2 linked regions of the Macaca mulatta genome follow. The protein of the gene in region 2 purifies or fractionates together with the protein of the main gene of each other region. This does not show direct contact. Links are inferred from orthologs where the notes say so. Each region holds a gene or a part of one and is shown on either strand. Other genes may lie near its edges.

The links.
Region 1: the proteins of RHEB (region 2) and RPTOR purify together in Homo sapiens (affinity purification with western blotting, with the first as the bait; 3 studies listed by BioGRID). This does not show direct contact. The link is inferred for Macaca mulatta from reciprocal best matches to the Homo sapiens genes RHEB and RPTOR.

Annotation. Positions count from the first base shown.
Region 1 is NC_133421.1:90,242,783-90,248,931, forward strand, and holds the start of RPTOR (regulatory-associated protein of mTOR), read left to right. Parts: upstream 1-1,997; 5' UTR 1,998-2,775; coding exon 2,776-2,937; intron 2,938-5,487; exon of another isoform or gene 5,488-5,697; intron 5,698-6,149. UniProt on the Homo sapiens protein: Component of the mechanistic target of rapamycin complex 1 (mTORC1), an evolutionarily conserved central nutrient sensor that stimulates anabolic reactions and macromolecule biosynthesis to promote cellular biomass generation and growth.
Region 2 is NC_133408.1:190,941,049-190,946,912, forward strand, and holds the start of RHEB (GTP-binding protein Rheb), read right to left. Parts: upstream 4,125-5,864; 5' UTR 4,074-4,124; coding exon 4,022-4,073; intron 1-4,021. UniProt on the Homo sapiens protein: Small GTPase that acts as an allosteric activator of the canonical mTORC1 complex, an evolutionarily conserved central nutrient sensor that stimulates anabolic reactions and macromolecule biosynthesis to promote cellular biomass generation and growth.

The sequences.
Region 1 (6,149 bases), on a different chromosome or scaffold from region 2:
TGGTTGGTACTACAGATGCATGTCATCATGCCTGGCTAATTTAAACATTTTTGTTGTTGTTGTTGTTGTTGAGGCCAGGCGTGGTGGCTCATGCCTGTAATCCTAGCACTTTGGGAGGCTGAGGCAGGTGGATCACCTGAGGTCAAAAGTCCGAGACCAGCCTGGCAAAGAGTCCTGCCTCAGCCTCCCAAGTAGCTGGGACTACAGGCACCCACCACCACGCCCGGCTAATTTTTTGTATTTTTAGTAGAGATGAGGTTTCACCGTGTTAGCCAGGATGGTCTCGATCTCCTAAACTCATGATCTACCCGCCTCGGCCTCCCAAAGTGCTGGGATTACAGGTGTGAGCCACTGCGCCTGGCCAAGGGTCAGATCTTGATGTCCAACATTGGTTATGGGAGCAACAAAAAAACAAAGCCCATGCTGCCCACTGGCTTCCGGAAGTTCATGGTCTACAACGTCAGGGAGCTTGCTGCTGATGTGCAACAAAGCTTACTGCGCTGAGATCGCTCACAGCGTTCCTCCAGGAACCGCGAAGCCATTGTGGAAAGAGCCGCCTAGCTGGCTGTCAGAGTCACTGTCCCCCATGCCAGGCTGCGCAGCGAAGAAAATGAGTAGACACATGTGCGTGTTTGGTGTTTAAATAAAACTGTAAAAACTGCAAAAAAAAAAAAAAAAAAAGTGCAGATTCTGAATCCCAGTCTCCCTGCTCCCCGATCTGGGGGTCTGGGGCGGAAGCTGGGCATCCTGATTTTTAGTTTCCTGGGCGATTCTGACCACCTGGTGGGTTTGGACTTCAACGTGCTCACTTAGAATTTCTTTCTTTTCTTTCTTTCTTTTTTGAGACGGAATCTCACACTGTCGCCCAGGCTGGAGTGCAGTGGCGCAATCTCGGCTCACTGCAAGCTCTGCCTTCCGGGTGCCCGCCACCACGTCCGGCTAATTTTTTGTATTCTTTAGTAGAGACGGGGTTTCACCGTGTCAGCCAGGATGGTCTCGATCTCCTGACCTCGTGATCCGCCCGTAATCCCAGCACTTTGGGAGGCTGAGGCGGGCGGATCACGAGGTCAGGAGATCGAGACCATCCTGGCTGACACGGTGAAACCCCGTCTCTACTAAAAACACAAAAAATTAGCCGGGCGTGGTGGTGCGCGAGGCTGAGACAGGAGAAAAGAAATTTACAAAGGATAAACTGCTCAGCAAATGAAACAGATTAAACAAAGAATTGTATTCGATGAATTTTTTTTTTTCATCGAATCTTGCTTCGGACCCTTCTTCATCTGAAGAGTCTTGCTCAGTCTCCCAGGCTGGAGTGCAGTGGCCTGATCTTAGCTCACTGCAACCTCTGCCTCCCCGGTTCAAGCGATTCTCCTACCTCAGCCTTCCGAGTAGGTGGGACTACAGGTGTGCGCCACCATGCACAGATAATTTTTGTATTTTTAGTAGAGACGGAGGTTTCACCATGTTGGCCAGGCTGGTCTCGATCTCTTGACCTTGTGATCTGCTTGCCTCAGCCTCCCAAAGTGTTGGGATTACAGGCGTGAGCCACTGCGCCCAGCCTTTCACTTGGTTTTCTACGAAAAAGAGAAAATCTGATTGACACTGTGGAAGATACTACATTAAAAAAAAAAAAAAAAAGTACTATATTTTCTAATATTATCAGTGTTTTTTCCTGAAGCTTTTGCCGCTTTTTCAAAATCTGGAAGAAACAAGGCGGTTGATTCCTCTAATTTCAGGAGCATGTAGCTTCATTTATAATAACAATGTTTTTGAAAAAATAAATTAAACCGACAGTTTCATTTGTAGGACTGACTTTAATAACACGCCTCTACTGAACAAATGGCGATTAACTGGGGAAAACGGAATTACGGTAACCGAGGTAATGGGGTCAGGGACTCCCTTTCCTTCACTGCTTGTTGGGTGGCGCGGCGAGAACGCTCTGAGGAGGTTTGGTCTGTCGGCCACGCCGTAGGCCGCGGTGCATTCTGGGTCCTGGCAATATGGCGTCCTCCTTGATGTGCTGATGAGATGAGTTTCCCTGTAGCTCCAAACCAGAGGGCAAAGCTCCCCTGACCCAGTAAGCCCTCATTGTCCGTTTTCTCCGTGGTTCCGTGTCGCCTGTTTCTCAGGACTCGTTCTCAGGCAGGAGAGAGCCTCGGGGCTGAAGGCCAGGACCAGCCAGGCCGCGCGGACCTGAGGTTGAGGAACCGGGTGCGGGCGAGCACGATGGGCCGGTCCTGGCTCTGGTTGCGGCAGCTCAGACGAGTGCGGGACCCGCAGGGCTGAGAGTGGCTGGAGGAGACCCAGGGCCCTTTGAACCCGATCCCTTGGCCGGAGACCTCGGCCCAGTGGGCGAACCGGCACCAAGAGCGGCCTGCCTGTCCTCGGAACTGCTGAGGCGTTGGAGGCCGAGAGCAGGGTCATCGTGAGGCCTGAAGTCTCTTACGCTTTTGACAGCTCCGCTCGCAGCCCCTCTGGAAACGTGCAGCCCCAGGAGCAGCCAGTGGCTTGGGACTTGGGCTGGTGTGTGTCTGCGGAGCTTCTTGGGCTGCCCCATTTCCTAGCGGCCCCCACCTCCCCACTTCCCGCCCAGAGTTAGAGATAAGGATCTCAGACTTTTTGCCTGAGTAAGGGTCTCCGCACTCTCCATCCATTTGTTTTTCGATTCCCCGTTTTTCTGTTTCTTATTTCACCAATTCTGGTACACGCTAGTTTTTAAGGCTGGAGGTTCTTGAGCGCTTGCTGCCAAGGACTCCCCCACCCCCTCCCCCACTGATGGAGTCCGAAATGCTGCAGTCGCCTCTTCTGGGCCTGGGGGAGGAAGATGAGGCTGATCTTACAGACTGGAACCTACCTTTGGCTTTTATGAAAAAGAGGCACTGTGAGAAAATTGAAGGCTCCAAATCCTTAGCTCAAAGCTGGAGGATGAAGGATCGGGTAAGTGGATTCTGAAGGCACCCCTTGAACTTGGTAGTTTCTCCAACAAAGAAAGTTTACAGCCTGAAAAGTGTCCTTGGGAAAGCGCTGACATTTCCCCCCAGCCACACGTTGTAAGTCAATTAGAAAGCAAAAGCCATTTCAGACTGCAGTTTTTGGCTGAAAATGGGAAAGGCTGTTTTAATTAGTCGTTATTCACTGGGTAGTGTTAATTCAATTCCAACTAAGTTCTGATTCAGATAATAAAAGTTAAGCAAATTTGAAATACAGCATTGCGAGTATTTACATGCTCTTCGGCATACTACTTTGTTCTGTTAACACTTAGAGGAAGGGCAACGTGCGATATAATGCTTATACCCACATAATTAGTCTACTTTGTAAAATTTCCAAGCTGGGTGAAGTGCAGAAGTCTGATATACTATGCTAGGAAACGAGATTACTGGAAAATGTTCAACTAGTAACAAATTAGTGCAAAGTTATTTTAAAGTTACAGTGAACTTCATTCTAGTCTTCTCAACAATTTGTCTTGAAGCTAGACTTTCCTCCTTTTATGTAGGGTCCTGTTGCTGTAACTTGGAGACAGGATTTCTTTAATTGTGAGTTAGGGTATGAGGCATTGACTGCAGGTTTCAGGTTGTCCTCATGGTGTTGGAGTGTGGAGAGTGATTCACAAGCAGCTGGTAGGAAAGAAAACAGCTGAATTTTGTTGAATTTATCCTTCATAAGATACCATCTATTTCCTGGTCTCAAAAGCAAAAGGGTGGTACTGCTTCTCATGTATGCACACTTATAATTTGTCTTTTGGTAAGTTATGTTCTCCCTCCAGGCTGCTTTTATTTATTTGCACGTTTCAGTGGTATAAAAGAGGAAGTTGGTGTTACAAGGTTTGATTTCCTTTAGGCTTATGTATATGTTTATGGAATATTATTGTTTTTTCATATATGATGATGAACATATATAAGATTACACTTCTGGGCTGGGCGCGGTGGCTCACACCTGTAATCCCAGCACTTTGGGAGGCCAAGGCGGGTGGATCACCTGAGGTCAGGAGTTTGAGACTAGCCTGGCCAACATGGTGAAACCCTGTCTCTACTAAAAATACCAATATTAGCCGGGCTTGATGGCAGCTGCCTGTAATCCCAGCTACTCGAGAAGCTGAGGCTGGAGAATCGCTTAAACCTGGGAGGCAGGGGTTGCAGTGACCTGAGATCGTACCATTACACTCTAGCCTAGGAGACAGAATGAGACTCTGTCTCAAAAATAAATAAATAAATAAATAAAGATTACACTTCTGGTAACTCTAGTCTGTCAGTAGTAAGCAGTACTTTAGTTACTGATTTGGCTTACTTCTAAAAGATTAGAAAAATTTGTTTCATCGAAAAGCAGTTTAAGGAGTTAAATAAGTTAGACATTGGGGGAGGTTGTATATTCTATCTTATGGACATCTTTAGTAGTAATTATATAGTTAAAAGCTTTTGTGGTTGCTATACATATGTGAAAATACTTTTTTTAAAAAAAATTCTGTGTAGAGGGCAGTTTTTTTTTTTCTTTTGAAATGTGGTTCCCTCTGCTGTCCTAAACCTATGTTCCAACTGTTCGAAACTGATTAATGGGTATATATTTGATCTTTTAATTAAAACATTAATTTGTGAATGATCAACATTCCATAATAAGCTTTTCACAGATTGTTAAGAGAAACAAGTTCTGTGACTCTTAGTAACTACTGAGATTGTTGCTTAGAAAGCAGCTGGGGAGAAAGTTTGCTGTATCTGTTTTTCAGTGGAGAAAATCAGCAGCTAACATCTTCAGTTGAGTTTGTGGGAGTTTGGAATCTTGTCATCTCTTCCCTCAGGTCAGACCTTGATGGACCGTTTCACACACCCTATAGGACAGAAGTTGCAAACTCAAATGATACTAAGAGTGAGAAGGTAGCATAAGTGAATGAAACAGGCCACATTTAAGAAGAATAATGGCATAGGTTCACAGATAAAGATAAATGGCAGCTGACATTTGACACAGTGTGTGTGACAGTTTCTGGAGGGTGGGAACGGGAGCTCCCTGATGCCGTAACTGAAGGCAACTGGGCCTTGGCCAGGCCTCTCTCTTTCTTTGTCTTTGAGAAGCCAGCAAACTTTTATTTTTTTAAATGTAAAGTCTTCCAATTTGTAAATATTCTTACTAATTCAGATATATTACCAAACACGTTGTAGTCCAACACTGTAGGCTGAACAAAGCCCATTTGTGGAGTGTTTTTCTGTTTCTTTTCTTTTCTTTTTTTTTTTTGAGACAGGGTCTTGCTCTGTCATCCAGGCTGGAGTACAGTGGTGAGATCACACGGCTCACTGCAGCCTCGACCTCCTGGGCCCAAATGATCCTCCCACCTCAGCCTCCCCAGTAGCGAGACCATAAGTGTGCGCCACTATGCCTGGGGTTGGGGAGTCTCACTGTGTTGCGCAGGCTGGTCTTGAACTCCTGGGCTCAAGCAGTCCTCCTGCCTTGGCCTCCAAAAATGCTAGGATTATAGGCGTGAGCCAACATGCTCAACCTGGGGTAGTTTTTTTTTTTTTTTTTTTTTTTTTGAGATGGAGTTTCGTTCTTGTTGCCCAGGCTGGAGTGCAGTGGTACGATCTTGGCTCACTGCAACCTCCACCTACCAGGATCAAGCTATTCTCCTGTCTCAGCCTCCCAAGTAGCTGGGATTACAGGCGCCTGGCTAAATTAAAAAAAATTTTTAATAGAGATGGTGTTTCACCATGTTGACTAGGCTGGTCTTGAACTCCTGACTTGAGGTCATCTACCTGCCTCAGCCTCCCAAAGTGCTGGGATTACAGGTGTGAGCCACAGCGCCTGGCCCTGGGGAATTTTTTGACTAGTGGGTTACCTACGTAAGAACTCTGTTACCCAGGCCTCCAGACCACACTGTCTCACTGTGCTGGAGGTGGCCTCCAGTCTGGTGGAGCAGCATGACTGTAAAGTGAAATGCGTGAGTGTGGTTGTTCTATGCTAGGAGCTACATCAACTCCTTCCTGGTGGCCATTGACTGTCCTAAATGCAAGCTGAGATTTTGCTTCTTGTGACTAACGTGCAATTCCATACACTTTTATTTTGTAGATATAGTAATGACTACTCACTGGCATCCTATTTAGTGGCCTTGCTACAGATCCCTAAAGTTGACATCTTTACCAAAGCTGACTGACTGATGATTCCTAAGA
Region 2 (5,864 bases):
TATAACCCATAGGGACAGCAAAATAACATTTGGCACTAGAAAGTCATAATCAGAAATCTGAATTCGGATTATGCTCTTGTGCAGAACAATGAGTAAGACTGAAAAACAGTAATTTCAAGTTTCAATACAAAGTGGCCACTTCAGGACTACCCCCACCCACAAGTATACAACATCAGAATATTAAGCACCTGAATATACAATTTCACATACTGGTAGATTTCATACATAGCAAATATTGTTTTGCCTTTCAATTTTTCAATAAAAAGTGTCATCAAATGATAGGTTAACTTAAAAAATAAACAGTACGTCAGAATCTGCTAGGAACAACCAAATATTTAATGACATCTTTCCTCATGGAGACTCTAAATACTACCCAAAACATTTTGACAAAGTAATAATTTGAGTACTTTTGCTGAATTGCCTTCTTCCAAACCACAAAGCTGTTTCATTTTCCCCCTATGATCTTTCACATGCCTGTGATCCCACCCCTCTTATTAACCGTATGTAAGAGGCTTATATATGACAACCAGCTTTTGATTACGGTCTAATGATAAACTAGGTTACCAAAGCTCTCTGTACAGGTAAAATCCCAGTGAAACACGTACCAGACTGAAGATAGTTTACGTAACACTACCATTTTAACTTAAGTTTAGTTACTTCCTATTGCGGGACTACTCTGCTGTGGTAGAGACAACGGAATGTCAGGGAGCTGGTACTTTTGGCCACCACAGGAACAGTTAATACAAAGCACTCCCTGAAAGCCAGACTCCCAGAGTTACAGGTGACATGTCCTTAAAAGCTTTAACATTGTAAAGAACAGGAAAAGTACAGGAGATTGGGAGGGAGAATTGTATAGATTACCTGAAAATTATATTTTCCCTATTGGTAGTTCTGACAAAAACCTGAAAGCCAAGTAGAGGGCTGGGCATGGTGGCTCACACCTGTAATCCCAGCACTTTGGGAGGCCGAGGCAGGTGGATCACGAGGTCAGGAGTTCAAGACCAGCCTGGCCAAGATGGTGAAACCGAGTCTCTAATAAAAATACAAAACTTAGTTGGGCGGGGTGGCAGGCGCCTGTTATCCCAGCTACTTGGGAGGCTGAGGTAGGAGACTTGGTTGAACCCAGGTGGCAGAGGTTGCAGTGAGCCGAGATCGCACCACTGCGCTCCAGCCTGGGTAACAGAATGAGACTCTGTCTCCAAAAAAAAAAAAAAAAAAAAAAAAGAGAAAGCCAACTAGTAAAACAAACATAGCATTTTGTTGTTTTAGCTGAAGACAACTTTAAAAATAAAGTTTGTGGCATGACAAAGTCACAATGACAAGTATCCTACTAGTCAAACTGGTTTAATGTACTTAAGAGAACATTCTAAGAAAGATGTGGAGCCTTTTTCTATGGCTCTACCCCCAGAATATAGGAGAAAACAGCTCAGCATCACAAAAGACCACAATCTAGAAACACATGTGCTCAGATTTCTCTGGTATAGCACCATTTGCAAGCTCCCAGAAGTGAGCATGCTGAGTAATCCTCAAAAGGGTGGCTTACTAGACGAAACCTGCTGGCAAAACCTAATCTCCTTCCCCTGCAAAAGACCCCACAAACTACAAAATATCCCGGCTCATAATACACTTTAAAATCAAATGGGGCTGGGTGTGGTGGTTCACGCCTATAATCCCAGCACTTTGGGAGGCCAAGGTGGGAGGACCACCTGAGGTCAGGTGTTTGAGACCAGCCTGAGGGTTGGCCATGTGGTGAAACCTGTCTCTACTAAAAATACAAAATCAGCCGGGTGTAGTGGTGCATGCCTGTAGTGCCAGCTACTCTGGAGGCTGAGGCAGGAGAATCGCTTGAGCCCTGGACGTGGAGGATGCAGTGAGCCAAGATCGCGCCATTGCACTCCAGCCTGGGTGGCAAGAGCCAAACTCTGTCTCAAAAAAAAAAAAAAAAATCAAATACAAGATTGGGAGCAACTTAACCTCTCCAAAATCGTTTAATATGACTACGCTTGAAAATAAGTATGGAGAAGTGGGGTAGGTTGCAGAAATATGAAATACTGAAGACACAAAATAGGGACTAAAAGTGACCCTGTAACCCACCGAAGACTAAGTTAGCACAGTATTTAACAAGCAGCACTTTAAAATAATGCTTGTGAAGAGACGGCTAAGGGGTGTCCTGTCACATCTCCGTCCTCAGGAGGAAGCTGAATAGAGGGGAAGATAAAACAGAATGGATTTCAACTGGACACAAGGAACTTCTTTAGCAAAAAAAACACAAAAAAACAAAAAAACAACCAAAAAAAACCCACCAAAAAGTGATAAAACTAGCCCTGCTTACCAAAGACTAGAGCTACCATTTCAACATTTTAAAAGGGTAAATCAGTCAGGATCTTTAGGTCATTCTCTTGGGTTGAAATCAAGTAGCCGAGGTACTTGACCATAATGTGATTATTCAGGGGCTATTTTCAAATAGTTGGCAATAAGTACTTACTTGACTGACTAGGGAGGGCTCACCCAAGAGCCAGGACACCTCGCGCTCCCAACTCCTCAAAATGCAGAGGAGGAAATCAAGAGAACAGAGACAAGAGCATGGATTCAGGCTGCCAATAAAGGTTGGATCCCAGGTTCCATGTAGATATTTGAACAGTTAGTGACTTTGAACCCCTCCATTTGATTCGTGGTTACTTCCTGGCTGCAGCACCGCATCGCACAAGAGTTCCCCCTACGACTCTGGGCACCCCGCATCTCTAGCCAAGCTTCTCTCAGCCCTTGACTTCCTCCAGCTCTCGACGGAGAGGTAGTAAAAGGATGAGTAAGCATGCAGTGGCTGATCTTGGTCAAAGAGCACAGACCCTGGCACCGGCGGTGGAAAGCGCAGTTGGGGAGTGCATCCCGCGAGCGGCTGGCAGGTACAAGCTTCCCACGACACATGCTGTCACCCCGTTCCGCAATCACCGGAGCCTTTGAACCCTCGCTTTCACCTCCCCATCCCCCCAAATGTGGCCCGGCGCACGTCTTCTATAGACAGTTACTTCAAAACAGCCCGAAAAGATGAACGTAATTTCTCCAGGCTTCCGGATGTCGGCAGACAATACAGCCTCACCCTGAAGCGTGTCTAAGTTCGATCGCTCCGGTTTCTCACAGGCCAGAAAACCGCTTGTTCTGTGACACCCCGTCCGCCCCCCAACCCGACCCTAAGCCACCTTATTCAGCAGTAAGGCGACGCTAGGAACCGTTTCAAATGTACGTCAACCTTTTGGGGGAAGAAAAAGAAAACAAAAAGACTTCGGAATTACTTCAACAGCGTGGTTGCAAGTACCTGACCTTATTCCTTCCCGAAGAAATATAGGCCACTGAGAGATCAGACATTCCTTTTTCTCTGCCTTCCTACCCGGGCCGCCAGCAGCATCTCCAGGGCCTCCAGAGGGGCCTCTTTTGGGGGCTCGCCTAGGTTTCCTATGTACAAAACTTGCGTCCAGAGACCAAACGTTCTCTAAGTCCCTAGTTTTCTTTACAAGGGTAAACTTCACCACAGATGGAATGAAGCCGAGGTGCTGCTTCCTTTGTTAAAATCCCACGGACTTTCTTTTCCTTGCATCGGGGGCGGGGTGGGGGAGACCGCCAGCCCCGGTCACGCGCGCCCGCGGCGAAGGCGGGGAGGCAGGTGTGACTCCTTCCTCGCGGGAGCCTCTAGCGCGGCTCCCTGGCGCCGCCTCATTTCCCCAGACGAGCCCCGGACTCCTCGGCGGCCGGCGGCCCCCGCCCCGCGCCTCCCACGCCCTCCGCCCGGCCGCCACCTGCCCGCCCGGCCCGCGGAGGGCGCCCGGCTACCGCAGCTCCTCGACCGGTGCGGACGCCGCCCCGACCGCCACCACCTCCGCTCAAAATGGTGGTTACGAAACGCGCGGCCCCCGCCCGCCCCGCCACATGGCCGCGCCGGCTCCAAACTTCGCAGGCCCGGCAGCGACCCGGCTTCCAGGCGAGGCCCCGGCGGCGCGAGGAGGCCGCGCGACCACCGGCCACTCACCCACAGACCGGTAGCCCAGGATCGCGATCTTCCGGGACTTGGACTGCGGCATCTTGGCGGCCTCCTCAGCCCCGGCCCAACCACATCAACCGCGGCGGCGGCGGCTCCTGCTGCTGCGATCGGCGGCGGCCGCGCCGGGGGAGAGCGGCATACAGAGCAGGGGCGGCGGCGGGCGCGGCTGCCTCTAGCTCGCTCGCTCGCTCGCTCGCGCGCTCCCAACCGCCCGGAACCGACCGCGCGGCGGCGCCCCTCCCCCCACAACACACCCACGTGACCGGCCGGCGTCAGCACCGCCCCTCCTCGCGCCGTGGCCCGCCGCCTCCGCCCCCTCGAAATACGCGGGGGTGCGTCGGGGCGACGTTTTACTTTAAAGGCAAAAAAAGGGGACGCCGCGATGCCCCCAGAAAAGTCACGACTGAAACTCGCTGCGTCATGACCCTCCCACCTTCTTCCGCCGCTTTTTAATTACGCCATTCTCCCCGAGCGCCGATTGGACGGCACCTGCACAGCCGCGCGATGACGTGTCAGAAACTCCATCTCCCATTGGGGGAGGCAAGGAGGCGGGGCGGAGGAGGCGGGGCTGGCCACCCAGGAGCTAAAAATACACCGCGCTGCTACAGCGCGGTTGGGCGCCGGCGAGGTTTGAAGGCTTCAAACTTCCAACCGGTTGGGGGCGGGCGGGAGAGGCGGAGAGACAAACGGTGGCTCCCCGGTGATTGGCCGGAACGGAGCGCAGGGCGGGGCAATAGGTGGGAGGTGCGGTGATTGGTGATAAGCTGAGCGGTTGGCGGGTTCGCGCCCGCTGAGCCCGTGAAGGGCGCGAGGCTCGTGGCCGGGGCGGGCGGTGGTTGGGCTAGCTCCTCCCTCGGGGCTTTTTTGAAAATTCCCCTTGAGCTGCGTTAGCGTTCGTGTCTGGGTTTGAGGATGTAGTGGTGACTAAGCGTCACCCACGGCCGAAGGACTGTGGGAAGCATGGAGTCTGCGTTAATTCAAAGTGTTAGGAATTTCATTAAAAACAGGGCGAGCCTCGTCAGTTCTGGTGTCTGCTTCGCTTCGCGCGGAGCTCGGCGCACATCCTGGAACAACGCCGGGGCGGGAAGCCGGTTCTCCGCCAGCGCCAGGGCGGCTGGTGCGGCGGGCAGGCCGGAGCCGGGTGCCAGGAACGCCTCGGGCCGCGGTGTGGGCACAGCCTTCCCAGGGGTGCAGTGCAGAGGGGCGCGGGAAGAGAATCCGGGCCGGGAACGCAGGTGCCGTTGAGGGACGAGCCTCCAGGCAGGCCCGGAGTGGTGGCTGCTGGTGGGCTTGGCACTTGCCGAGTTAGCAGAGGCTCCGCCGCGCCGGGGAACCCGCCCCTATTCTGCCGAGGCTGTTTGGCAGTGGGGACCTGCAGAGGCCGGGCATGGCCCTTCGCCCTTTCCCAGTGATCGGTAGGGAGGAATGAAGCCCAGGGAAACTGAGTAGCAGGCCTTGTATTCCAGCGTAGGAAGGTTTAGAGGTGACTGGAGTCGAATTGGAACACCCAGCCCAAGAGCGACTCCCTCCAGCTTTCCCACGGAAGCATCCGATAGGGGCTGGGGTGTGCATTCTTGTCCTTGGGGATCTACAGATGGAAACCCCAGGCAGCCAGCCGGAAGTGATCAATGTCTGGAAGTTCTATGTTTTCATGAAATGTTGAGGTTTACGCTACAGTTATTTTAAGTGTTTTAAAACTAAAGGTCTTAAATTGTACTCTCCTGTAAAATGTGTCGTTTTTATCCTGTGGATTCGGATATCCTCACCACAGTGTTTTTGAACAGATGCTACTAAACTCCTTGCATTATCAAATCAGTTTAGTTTCACCTTT